Linked DNA regions of Danio rerio. The protein of the gene in region 1 purifies or fractionates together with the protein of each later gene. This does not show direct contact. Links are inferred from orthologs where the notes say so. Each region holds a gene or a part of one and is shown on either strand. Other genes may lie near its edges. The genes, in order: tnrc6ba and ago4.

Region 1 (7,233 bases):
GCTGCCCTGACCACTCATGTTTTCAAGCACTATTGAGAGGAAAGAAAAAAAGAACACAATTCTTCAGCTGAACTCACCAAACAGCATTACACATTTACTAGAAATTGTCAGGGTTGACCTGTAATGACAGCAGGGGTTTGCTGGTGTGCATGATTAATAGCTTGGGCGATTTTCTCCATGCATTTCTCAGGGCTGGAGTCCATAGCAGCTCCAGGGTGAAAGTTAAACTGGCTGAGGCCCAATGCATCGCAGCGACTCAGCTCATCCACAAGCATAGCCTGGCTCTTACTGAACACATCTGGATTACAAGCACAGTCATTTGACACAGCCTCATATGCAGCTATTGACTAGATATTGCTTAAATCCACAGAGCTATGTTTTTTTAATGCCAACGTTGTGGCTTCATCTTTAAATAGTCAGTTTTTGGTTAATGCACACAACCACAGAGAGTGCAGTCATTGCTCAAACCTTCTTTAGGAGAACCGCAGTTCATCAAATAAGATCCATGTGGCAGGATGTGTACTGGATCGAAGCCATGTTCTGCACAGGCTTGTTGAAATTTAACTGCAGCCTTTGAATCAAGGACTGGTCTTGTCCAGGAGCGCTGAGAGCCCAAAAAAAGGGCAAAAGCGTGACCTCCCATGGCCACACTGGACTCCACTGCTTTCCATATTCCTCCTGATTAAGGAAAATTTCTAGAATTGTTATGTGTTTGGAACAAATACTGCATTAAAAATAAAGCATCTTCACCTGAAATTGAGACGTGAGCGCCTATATATTTTTTCTGTGGTTTCATCTTCCTTTTGCATGCCATTTGTTCTTTGGTGCTGCCATCTGATGGTTCTGCATCCAAGTGTTGTTGCTTCTTTGCTTCAGTGAGCTCCACCGTCTTTTTTTTCTTCTCGCCTTTTCTTCGGGAGGCCATGCTTTTTTTCTAAGTCAAGAATAAACATGTGGCTAGACATTGTTGTAAAACGCCATGATTAACTAGGCAATTAAAATAATGTGGTTTATCGATACTGATGAAAAGATTGCTATTTTTTTTACTATTTATAAAAATCTGATTATAAAATAGAATCTATAAAAAATCAAATCTACAAAAATAGATTATACAAAAAACTTAATTTTGTTTTATTAAAAATAATCCAGTATTAAACAAAGGTATTATATGTAGTTTTATAAAAAGTATATGTGTGTGTGTGTATATATATATATATATATATATATATATATATATATATATATATATATATATATATATATATATATATATATAAATATATATATATATATATATATATATATATATATATATATATATATATATATATATATATATATATATATAAATATATATATATATATATATATATATATATATATATATATATATATATATATATATATATATATATACACATACAGTTGAAATTCAGATATATTAGCCTCCCAGAATTATTAGCCCCCTGTTTATTTTTTCCCCAATTTCTGTTTAATGCAGAGAAGATTTCTTCCACACATTTCTAAACATAATAATTTTAATAACTGATTTCTAATAACTGCTTTATTTTATCTTTGCCATGATAACAGTACATAATATTTTACTAGATATTTTTCAAGACACTTCTATACAGCTTAAAGGGACATTTAAAGGCTTAACTAGGTTTATTAGGTTAACTAGGCAGGTTAGGGTAATCAGGCAAGTTATTGTATAACGATGGTTTGTTTTATAGACTATCAAAAAATCTATAGTTTAAAGCTTAAAAACTGCTTTTAGTCTAGCCGAAATAAAACAAATAAGACTTTTCCAGAAGAAAAAGTATTATCAAACATACTTTGAAAATTTCCTTGGTCTATAAACATAATTTGGGAACTATTAAAAAAAGAAAAAAATTCAAAGGGGGGCTAATAAATCTGACTTCAACTGTATATATTACAGAAGGGTGAAGAGGCTTTACAAGTGCAAGTGCTGTTATTACGGGTATATCGCATGGCTATCAGCCAATCAGATTTGAGAACCAGACAGAATTGTTATTAGCCCACCTTAGATTTTTTTTTCTTTTTTAAATATTTCCCAAAATATGCTTATAAACCAAGGAAATTTTTACAGTATGCCTGATAATATTTTGTCTTTATTTTATTTTGACTAGAATAAAAGCAGTTTTTAATAAAAAAAAAAAAAAACATTTTAAGGTCAAACTTATTTGCCCCTTTAGTCTACAGAACAAATCATCATTATACAATAACTTGCTTAATTAGTCTAACCTGCCTAGTTAATCTAATTAACCTAGTTAAGCCTTTAAATGTCTCTTTAAGCTGTATAGAAGTGTCTTGAAAAATATCAAGTCAAATATTATTCACTGTCATCATGGCAAAGATAAAATAAATCAGTTATTAGAGATGAGTTATTAAAACTATTCTGTTTAGAAATGTCTTGAAAAAAATCTCCCTGTTAAACAGAAAGTGGGGAAAAACAAACAGGAGGGCTAATAATTCAGGGAGGAATATGTATTATTATTCTAATAATTATTTATTATTTATTTTGTTATTTATTTAATTATTATTATTCTAATAATTATATGTGTGTGTTTACACACAATATTTAAGGTCTTAAAGCTGAAAAGAGATTTTACATAAAAATGTATTTAAAAACACATTTTACAAATTATTATTATTATTATTATTTATACTCTTCATCATTTTAGTATCTGTAACGTTATACAAATTGATGCTGATTCAAAAAAGGCCTCTGTGTACTAAAAATCTAAAACCTTATCTAAATTATAAAAACATAAAACTTATTATGACAGACTGGGGTAGCCTTAACAAATGTTGCAAATATGTACATTTAACGTTAGTATTTATTGTGAGGCATCGCTCTTTTTAAGTAAGATGAAATTTCTTGTGACAGACTGAGATAGCCTTAACAATTTTTACAAAAAAGCAGTAGGCTACCTTACGTAACATTACGTATAATTAACATTCACTGCAAATGAGTCAGGTCTCATGCCAAATATGTTCTATTTATTAAAAGAACGTCCAATTAAAGAGTTATTGGACTTTTAATATTGAAGGTCAAAAATCTCCCTCGGCTGCCCCCCTTCCGTCAGATCTGTCCAGACACACACATTCACACCGAGCAGTAAAATGGCCGACCGTCAACCAACTGACTTTACAGCGCTTTAAACATAGATTCCGCCTCTTTCGTTTACATTATCGTATTTCATATTTAAAACCTACAGAAGGAGTGTTTTCATGACTAGCTCATAGATATTGATGGAGTATTGTATTTCACGTTGCCTCAAAACCCAGAAATTCGCACTTAAGCACTTTAGCTGTAGCTAGAAGACTAGCTGCGGTGCATGTAATTCCTGAGGTAAGTGCTTTATTTTAAAAATCATTTCATGTGAAATGTTGCTTGCAACTAATGACACTAATATGCATTTTGAAAAACCGCAGTTGCGTGAAAGCGTTTTAGTATGGTACAGTTTTTCTTCGTCGACATCTGTTAGCCCTAGCTCTGTCGCTAGTTAAATTAGCCAGGCAGCCAGTTAGCATTTGCCTGTATGCAACTTTAACGTTAGCTTTCCGCTGGTCAATCATGAAAACATACTCGTTGTTGTATAGTAACACACTAATGGATCTGAGTTATGTCTGCGTTAAAATAAGTATAAGTTGAGTTTAGCTAGGCAATGTATATCACGACTATTAGTCCAGGCTTGCTAACGTTACGTTAACGTTGCTGCTGCCCATATTTGAGCAGTTGCATATTTATGCATATTTTGTTTTGACAGCTGCTTACCCTTTTGATTTGTGTTACGATCCGTACGTAAATAGACTCTGGCTTCAGGGAGAATTTAATAAAATATCTGAGGTTCACGTTTAGGATGTTAATATCTTCTGCTAGCAAATTAGCTAACGTTAACTGAGTAACATACACCTGAGATTGGCAGGACCACTAAAGCATACGCGTTAGCTCGGTGTGTTTCAGTTAGTGCCGTTAAAACACTGGATTTAACAGTTGTTTTTGCTCGAATTGTTCGTATAGCCGACGTAAGGAATGTATGCTATATTTTAAATTTTACCCGAGGAAATGGGCGGGTGGACGGACGAAGCGCCTGTCCAACAACTCTGCCCTGCCAACTGCAGGCTTCCAGACAGATAGCAGCAAGAGTTTCCCCCATTATGAAGATCACAGTATGAATTTCATTGGCATCCGTTTTTTAATGACAGGTTCAAACTCCACTCGAGCCTTCGTTCAAATTATTTTTACAAAGATTGGTGATATCTTGATCATGTGATTGGTGCCGTTGTTGTGTATTGTGCTGTTATGCATTTGGTTTGATAACACAGCAGCACCTCTTAGTGCCTGAACTGGTTGAAGGTGATACTAGACGTATGCATTTTGCAGATCCTTGGTATTGTATACTAGGAATTGGCAGTTTATTTACATTTATTTACATCATTATTTACATGGCAGTTTATTTACATTTACAAAGTTTTACAATTGAACACTAGTTTTTGATGTTTTGTTTTTCAAGAAAGGAGCACCAGGAAAGGGAACAGCAGTTCATGGAAGACAAGAAAAGGAAAAAGGAAGATAAAAGGAAACGGGAAACCTCGCAGAAGGTAATTGCTATGTTATATTAATTATTTCTGACTATTAAGTTAAGCACATACCGTCTTTGAAAAGATGTGTGTTCATTTTCAGAATTGAAATAGCATTCTGGATTCACTTTTTATGCTGTAAATGTAGAAGTCCTTTCTAGAGAATAACGTCGTATTAATAGTTAACTGCATCAACCAAGCCTCTGGTACATGTTTGTCAAAGTATCATTGTAGAAATACTGATGCTTGGCTGTTCATGAAAATATTGATTGCTATCACTTAATTAGCATTCATGCTTTAGGTTTGATCTCAATATAATCTTGCTTACCATATCTAAATCCTTGAAAAGAATGTGTAAGATATAGTTGAGATGTTTGTTTTGGGCCAGCTTGTCCTGTCAGATACTCTGACATATATGTGCTAAACACAGATAGGTTATGTTGGCTGTTTAATTAGTTTTTTTTTCTCATTGCAAAACCTATATATATCACATGCTATAAAAATATTTCCATTTTGCTGTCAGGGGTGCAAGAGGGTTTCTGCATGTGAATTTCCTCTCAGCTTCACTGAACAATTGTGAAGTTTTGAGATGGAGTTATAATGGTCATTAAAGTTTTATTGTTCTTAGTGGGAAAGGCTACTTTAAATAATTTTATTAAATGCGGTGGAATGTAGTTAAGAGATGAAGAAGGAATACCTTAAACTTTGTTGTGTGCCCTGAGTAAATTAAAATATATGTTTTCATCAAATCTGTATCTCCTTTTTTATTGTTTTAGGTTGCAGAGCAAAAAAATAAAGGTAACTATTTTATTTCCATCTTTAATTTTTGAACTCTGTACTGACGTTCTGAGACTATGTGTTTTTATGCTGTCAAGGAGGCATATTATGTAATGTCCACTTTGTTAACTTGTGAATTTATTCTTTTCTTTTACCTATATGTAGCTTTTCTGCAGTTCTGCTCTCATTTGCTCCTAACTTTTCCACCACACAGTGCCAGAATTGACCAAGCCTCCATCTGCACAGTCTCCTGCCGCCCCCAACTCAGCTTCCCCCAGCCCTGGCCCCGTCCCCTCTTCAACCCCATCCGCTGCCACCCCGGCTGCTGGCACCCTCCCTCAGGGTGGGAACAATGCTAAGCGGCCGGCGGTGGCCAACGGACAGCCCTCCCCCAGCACACCGAATTCTCAGCGCTACATGCCCCGTGAAGTGCCCCCTCGATTCCGTTGCCAGCAGGACCATAAAGTGCTACTGAAGAGGGGCCAGCCACCACTGTCCTCCATGCTGCTGGGGGGAGGCAACAGCGGGGGAGACAGCCCCAATGAAACAGTGGCTTCTGCCTCAGGTAGGAATCATTAGGTTAATAATTTAAATTGCATAGTTACATTTTTATTCAGTTGTACACTGGGTAAGTTGATCATTATATTTTATAGTTTGTATTACATATGCTTGGTTTTTGTGTCATAAAAAAGTCTAGCATATCTTGAAGATTTTATTTTATTTCAGATCCAAGCCAGGGCCCTGTGGGTCCAGCTGCTCCCTCACTGCCCCATACGTCATCCGCCTCATCAATCGCTGCTTCTTCTTCTTCAAATTATGCAAATTCCATGTGGGGGACCAGCTCTGGCAGCCATCCCCTCTCTCAGGGCAGGGAAAAGGTGATAGTGGACCGGTCAGACCTGGAGGAATGGCCCAGTATTGCTGCTGGGGATGGATCAAAGTCAGGGGATGCAGCAGGTACAGGAGGTACAGACAGTGGTGCGATTCTGAACTGCAATGCCTCGTGGGGTGAGAGGCATCTCCAGCAGCAAGCGAAAGTTGTGGGAGGAGGGAACGGAAGGAAAGGAGTCAATTCTGGCAGTCCCTCTCCGCCCACATCCTCTGGATCACCCAATGAATGTATGCAGTCTGGTAGTGTTTGGGCTTCATCCTCCCATGAACTCATAGGGGGGAATGCAGTAGCAGCAGGCTCATTGCCCCCCATATCCAAAGCTGCCCCTCTCCCAGGGAGCTCTGATAGCTCCTTTGGTGTCAGCTGTGGGATTCCAGGTGCCAATTTTACCCCTAATGCCAATCCCTCTGCTTGGCCAGCCCTAGTACAGGAAGGGGCTGGGACAGTTGCAACAGAGGGTGGCTCCTCTTCCCTCCAAAGCTCATCTTTGTCTGCCAGCAACCCTCTTTCTGTGAATCAAGCCTCTCATCAGCACCAACTTCACCAAATGCAATCCAGAGACAGAGAGCCATCCTGTGGAGAATGGGGTGGCACAGCACTGGAACCAGGAGCAGGACCAAAAAACACTGGGGTGACAGAGGGGGCTGATATGGACTCTGGAAGCACAGGTGGAGGAGCAGGCTCTGCTTCGTCTTCCTCCTCCACCAGCTCATCATTGTGGAGAACTCAGCCTTTCCCTGCAAACTTCAAAACGGGTGCCTCAAGGACTGAATCTTGGGATGATGGAGCAGGAGGGAGCTCCTTGTCTGCTGAAGGTGGGAAGGCATGGGGATATCCCGGCCAGGACGATCGAGGAGATTTGACGGGGGCAGGTGCCTGGGGAACAGGAAGTGGGGGTCAGACCCCCGGGGTATCTCAGGGAGCGTGGGGTGGGGACCATTTGTTGGGTGGGGAAT
Region 2 (6,793 bases), on another chromosome or scaffold:
ATATATGACAAGCAATAACCTTCCACATTTGTTGTGAGCTGCAGGCTTTACACTTTCATGTGTGGAGAGTATTCATCATGTATTTCAATGCATTTAGTTCTACATTTAGAAAATATTTTATTTATTATAGTAGCCGTTTTTTTAATCGGTGTAAAGAATAACTGGATGTTTACAAAAGCATTTTGATATTGGTATAGGAGTCTGCAACTTTTGTGAACTATAAAAACATGTTTATGACTGCATAAATGTATTATTTCCTTTAAAAAAAAATCACATTGTTCATTTCTATTATACACAATTTGTACTAAAGCGATCTAAAAAGTTCATATAAGTAAGTTTTCTCTTTGCACCACCAGGTGGCAGTCTTTATACTTTCATTTCGAGGGTGCAGATTGCATAATTGTATTAATGTGTATAACTTTATTTCATTAATATATATATATATATATATATATATATATATATATATATATATATATATATATATATATATATATATATATATATATATATATATATATATATATATATATATATATATATTAGTTAAAAATATTTACTATTTTCCCAAGTGTATATAACTACTACTGTAAGAAAATATCAGAATTCGGTAGGCTACTTTTGTATTACCTTTGCTTAAACTGAGCCGATCTAATCCTGTTTACGTGAATTGAACCTGCTCCCGATCAGGTTTGAGCTAGCAGAACTGTTGCCATGACAACAACTCTCAGATCAGCTTTGAAGAACGAAACGATCCTGGATCATGTCAAATCGTCAATATCCAAATCCAGCTAACTGAGTAATCCGTGTACGAAGAACCGACCACAAGTCAGAATTTGGCATGCTTGACTGTATATTTGTTTAATTGCTGATGAAATGCACTAGTTAGATATATCACAAGAAATAGCATCAATAAAAATTATAGTTATAGCACGAAATATCGGTCACACTTTACAAAAAGGTTTAATGTATTTACTAACATCAGCTGATAATGAACAATACATGTAAAAGCATTTATTAATCATAGTTTAACATTTACTAATGCTTTATTAAAATCCAAATTCATGCTTATGAACATTAGTTAATGCAACGCGAGTTAACATGAACTGACAATACTAGTTAATGTATTGTTCATTGTTTGTTCATGTTAGTAAATGCATTAACTAATGCAACCTTATTGTAGTTAATGCGTTTACTAATATGAACAAATAAAAATACAGTGGTTCATGTTTACTCACGGTTTATTAACTAATGTTATCGAGCATGAATTTGTTTGTTAATAATGCAATAGTAAATGTTGAATTAGCATTAATAAATGCTGTACAAGTATTGTTCATACTTGTTTATGTGTGACCAAAATATCGTTATTGCAACACTAGAATCATATTGCAATATTGTGTATTGCATATGTTCCCAGTATATAGTGGAACTTTTTTTCACTCATTTGTTTCCCCGTGTTCTCCCGCAGGGCACCAGCCGTCCCTCTCACTATCACGTGTTGTGGGACGACAACTGTTTCACCGCTGACGAGCTCCAGCTTTTGACCTACCAGCTCTGCCACACTTATGTGCGCTGCACCCGCTCCGTCTCCATCCCCGCGCCAGCTTACTACGCCCGGCTAGTGGCCTTCCGCGCACGCTATCATTTAGTGGACAAAGACCATGACAGGTTAGTAACACTTCAGTATTAAGAGCCTGTGTAAAGTGACCATAAATACGTGTTGAGCTCGTCACACAAAAGAAAATGTGGTGTTAAATGGAGCGCTCATCCTAAAATTATCATTCTAAACCTTTTGAGTTTATTTCTTCTGTTGAACACAGACGAAGGTATGTTAGAAAAACCTGTCACCATTGACTTTCATGGTAGAAGATTAAATGCTATGGAAGTCAATGGTTACAGGTTTTCAGCTTTCTTCAAAATGTCAGCTTTTGTGTTTACTAAAAACAAGAGAAGATATTTTGAAAAATGTTGAAAACCGGTAACCATTGACTTCTATAGTAGAAAATCAAATGCTATGGAAGTCAGTGGTTTGAAGTTTTCAGCATTTTTCAAAATATCTACTTTTGCATTCAACAAAAGAGAACATTTAAACAGGTTTAAAACAAGCGAATAGTGAATAAACGCTGAATGAATTGAAAGTTTTGGGTGAAATATCTCTTTTTAAAAGTTTTTTTATTTATTATTTATTCATACTCGAAATGGTTTCAAACCTTTTGAGTTTCTGAGTTCTGCTGCACACAAAAGAAGATATTTTGATTAAAGCTTAAAGCCGGTAACCCATTGACTTCTGTTGTAGGAAAAACACATATTGTAGACATTAGTACTTAGTTTTCCAGCTTTATTCAAAATATCTTATGTTCAATGGAAAGGTTTGAAATTAGTAGGGTTGGGTACTGTTCAGGTTTTTACTGGTATTGTACTTGTAATGCGGCACTGGTATCCATCTGTACTTTTTTCCAGTTCTTCTACTGTGTAATCGGTGTGCAAATTACAAGGGGGTTTGGTGGTGTCTGATCCCCCTAATTACACCCCCTGACGGCAGTGTTGCCAGATATAGCATACTTTTTCCAGCCCAAAACCCGCCCAAACGCACACAAAAAAACACCCAAAATATTAGATCAATATTTTACTTAATTAACCTAGTTTAACTGTTATATATTTTAAACCATACAGCACACAACACCAGCACTCACAGAACCACAGCAAAACCGGATCCCATCAAAACCCTGCCCTCCCTCTCACCCACATACTGCACTTACCTATTTGAGTATTTACTTTTGAAATGGGGTATAAATTTGTCCCGTTTTAAATTTTTCACACTGTGTAATCAGTGTGCAAATTACAGGGGGGTTTGGAGGTGTCTGATCCCCCTAAATAACACCTCCTGATGGCAGTGTTGCCAGATATAGCAGACTTTTTCTAGCCGAAAAGTTGTCCAAAACCCGCCCATATAATATTATATTAATATTTTATTGATATTTAATTAATCTACCTACTTTAACTGTGTGTGTGTGTATGTATGTATGTATGTATGTATGTATGTGTATATATATATATATATATATATATATATATATATATATATATATATATATATATATATATATATATATATATATATATATATATATATATATATGTATGTATGTATGTGTGTGTGTGTGTGTGTGTGTGTGTGTGTGTGTGTGTGTGTGTGTGTGTGTGTGTGTGTATATATATATGTATATGTATATATATATATATATATATATATATATATATATATATGTGTATGTATATATATATATATATATATATATATATATGTGTATGTATATATATATATATATATATATATATATATATATATATATATATATATATATATATATATATATGTGTATGTATATATGTATGTATATATATACATATATATATATATATATATATGTGTGTGTGTGTGTGTGTATATATATATATAAACCATACAGCAACCAACACCAGCATCACAGGACCACAACATAACTGGATCACATCGAAACCCTGCCCTCCCTCTCACCCACATACTGCACTTACCTATTTGAGTGTTTTACTTTTGAATTGGGATATAAATTTGTCCCATTTTAAATTCTTATATAATTAGGTGCTGCTTGTCAATCAGAAAATGCTTCTATGCTTGTTCTTGCTGTTACTTGCGGAAAAAACGATTGATAAAAGTGTCATGATAAACCGCTGTGCGTTTAACTTCTCGTGAAGTGGAGTCAGATATTGATAACTTTTCTTCAACTCTTGCGGGTAGAACCCGGCGGTTTGCACTATGCACTGGTAAGTACTAACTGAATGGAGTAGGAGCACATATGTTTTGTTAAATAAGTTGCATATATAAAATAAAAATCATGTTTCAAAACCGCCTAAATTTTGTCAACCCGCCTGCCATTTTTTTACCCACAATCAAATTCAAAACCGCCCAATCTGGCAACACTGCCTGAAGGAGATAAACACAAAATGCATAGGGGGGGTCAGCCCTTTAATACAGAGAAGTAGTTCACTCTGGACTGTATTTTAAATAATAATGTCAATAATAGAAATAATAGGTAATATAAATATACATTTGACCACCCCTATAACGGTTCATACCATTGTGAATGCATAACTGTGCCAATCAGTCAATGAGAACATACATTCAACAGTCTTCGACCGACACGGTAAGTGTGCAAAGGCTGTTTGTTTTTCCGTATCGCCTAAAATTAGCCAAATAAAATGCATGGTTTGAACTACAGTAATGTATGAAATAGCTAATCAGACCATACTGTAGGTCTGAATACACTGAATATCCCACATACACTAATAAACTTATTACATTGCAATTTAAATTAAAAAACACAAACTAACATTACTGAAAAAGTTGCCATGTGCAAAAAAGGAATGTCAAAGTGCATAATGGGTCCCCTTAGAGTTTCTGTAACACACACATCCCGGACAGTGTATATTGATGTGTGTGTGTGTGTGTGTGTGTGTGTGTGTGTGTGTGCTTTGTGTCTCAGTGCTGAAGGCAGTCACGTATCAGGACAGAGCAACGGTCGAGACCCGCAGGCGCTGGCGAAAGCTGTGCAGATTCACTACGACACACAGCACACCATGTACTTCGCCTGACCACAGCCAGCAGGAGGCGCACTTCTACACTCCTTCCAGCTATATCTATTATCTCTCTCTCTCTCTCTCTCTCTCTCTCTCTCTCTCTCTCTCTCTCTCTCTCTCTCTCTCTCTCTATTATCTCGCTCTCTCTCTCTCATGCTGTATTTCTCTCTGTTATCTCTCTCTCTTGAAGCGGGGGCCGTCTGTCAGTCAGTCCAGTCCACAATGTTCGGCCTCAGAAGAACCAGCCTCTACCAGCAGTCCTGCACTGAGGGGCCACTGACCTCCAATGCACACAGAAAAACAAAACAAAAAAACAAAATCAAATTGAGCCATTTTTAACCGTTTATTTTTATCCTTTCTTTCTAGTTTTGATTTTTTGAATGTCTTTTTGATTTGTAATATACACTGAGTGTGAGCAAAACCTGCGCCACCGGTCAGGGCAGCTCTGGCTCTCTCGGCTAAGCTGGACTCTGTCTACTTTTACCTCAAGCCGCCATCGGCTGAATCTTGTCTTTTTGTGTGGGAGGGAGGGAGGGGAGGGCGGGGCTTGCATGTTAACGAAGGGGGCGGGGTTTTGTTTTTGTTGACTCTCCTCATGGTCTTTTACAAACGAGGTGACCTGGGTTGTACATACCCATTACCCTGCTCCCATTTAGTGTGTGTGTGTGTTTGAGTGTGTGTGTGAATGTGTGAATGTGCAGGCCACTGAATTGTAAAGGGAAATCTAGGAGCAAACTGCTGTAAATGCCTCTTCTTTTTTTATATTAACACACACATAGATATATGGAAAAAAAAATATGTATAAATATTTACAACTCTATAAGCATATTCCTCTTGGCTCTGATGATAAGCTGATGGTTTTTGTGTAGCAGTAGCATTACCCATGGTCCCTCCACAGGCCGCTGGGGTTGTTTTTAAAAGCAGGCTTGTGTTGGTCCAGAAGCGGCGCATGTGTTATTGATCGCTCAACGGATGTGTGGCCATTGCACAGGCGTCTGATTGGCTAGGTTTGCGACATACAGCACTCTCCCTTCCTTTTATGCATTTATACATAAGAGTCAAATCAGATTTGTAAGAGTTTAATATAAATGGTTTTTTGTGGTAAACTTTAACAGTTTGTTAGAGTAGATGATCGTCGTTCTTGTCGTTTTAATGTTTATCGATCAGTCGTCGGCAAATCAATCGCGCAACTCATCGATCCAGGAGTCGTTTGTGCTTGTAAATGGAGATTTTTAAGTTTGGTTTGTTTTTATACGGCTTGTTTTCTCTTGGCGTTTGGTATCGAGGGCCCAAAATGCTTGGCTTCGTCCACTTTTTCATATTGCGATCAAATTTTAGCATTAAAATGACACATGGTTTGTTTGTTTTCGGATATTAGCAGCAGCAGTTATATGAATTTTACACTTAAAAGTGTGTTTATTACTACTTTCTCTCTCTATGTGTGTGTGTGTTTGTTTATGAATCTCTTGATGAACTTTCTCTCGCGTATTAAACATAGGACACAGAACACACACTTGCAGAAAGCACTGCCGAGGGTCTCCAGCGCACACGCCTCGTCAGGCGGACGCTCGCGGAAACACTTTTGTAATAAACCATCCGTAAAGCAGCAGGTTTGCTATGAATGAGTTTGAGCACCAGCCTGTCGCTGGCGTGGACGCTGGATCCGAGATCGTAGAAGAAAAAGGAAACGAGCAACATGCAATAATTGTATTAGCGAACTGTCACGGCGAGTCCTGGCTATCGTGTGTCCTTTTTAGGCAGATACATGACATTTAATTCCAGTTTCTATCATGAGCATCACTGCGAAGCAATATTATTAACCCGAGAAGATGATAACGCTGCAAGTTTTCAGTCTTTGTGGATGTTGGTTGGATTCCTCTTGTTCATGTACTTACTTTGCTTGTATCAATCAGTGGGAATGTGCATATGGTGGACTAGCTCTTTTCCTTTCGTTCATTTACGCTACGTGAATTTAATTTAATTCGGAGGATTTAAATGTGCTCGCCTGCATGCCAGAGTATTGTCTCTCTCTATCTCTCTCTCTATTTATTATGGCGCGGTTATTTTTATTTTTACTCTGCGTAAATCAATTCAGTGAGACTGTTTTGAGTAGCGATGTTGTCCGGTCTCCTCTTTTACAGGATTTTAAGAGTTCTTATCAGAGGCTGAGCTGGAT

What was found.
Region 2: the proteins of tnrc6ba (region 1) and ago4 purify together in Homo sapiens (co-immunoprecipitation; 3 studies listed by BioGRID and IntAct, with this or other methods). This does not show direct contact. The link is inferred for Danio rerio from reciprocal best matches to the Homo sapiens genes TNRC6B and AGO4.

The regions. Positions count from the first base shown.
Region 1 is NC_133187.1:20,943,886-20,951,118, forward strand, and holds the start of tnrc6ba (trinucleotide repeat-containing gene 6B protein), read left to right. Parts: upstream 1-3,105; 5' UTR 3,106-3,376; intron 3,377-3,635; exon of another isoform or gene 3,636-4,085; coding exon of another isoform or gene 4,086-4,184; exon of another isoform or gene 4,185-4,334; intron 4,335-4,541; 5' UTR 4,542-4,572; coding exon 4,573-4,629; intron 4,630-5,384; coding exon 5,385-5,406; intron 5,407-5,599; coding exon 5,600-5,950; intron 5,951-6,111; coding exon 6,112-7,233. Other genes in the region: si:ch211-141o9.10 (probable endonuclease 4), read right to left, coding at 1-29, 119-298, 469-678, 751-934, 4,086-4,184.
Region 2 is NC_133194.1:50,609,041-50,615,833, forward strand, and holds the end of ago4 (protein argonaute-4), read left to right. Parts: intron 1-1,468; coding exon 1,469-1,668; intron 1,669-4,523; coding exon 4,524-4,632; 3' UTR 4,633-4,646; downstream 4,647-6,793.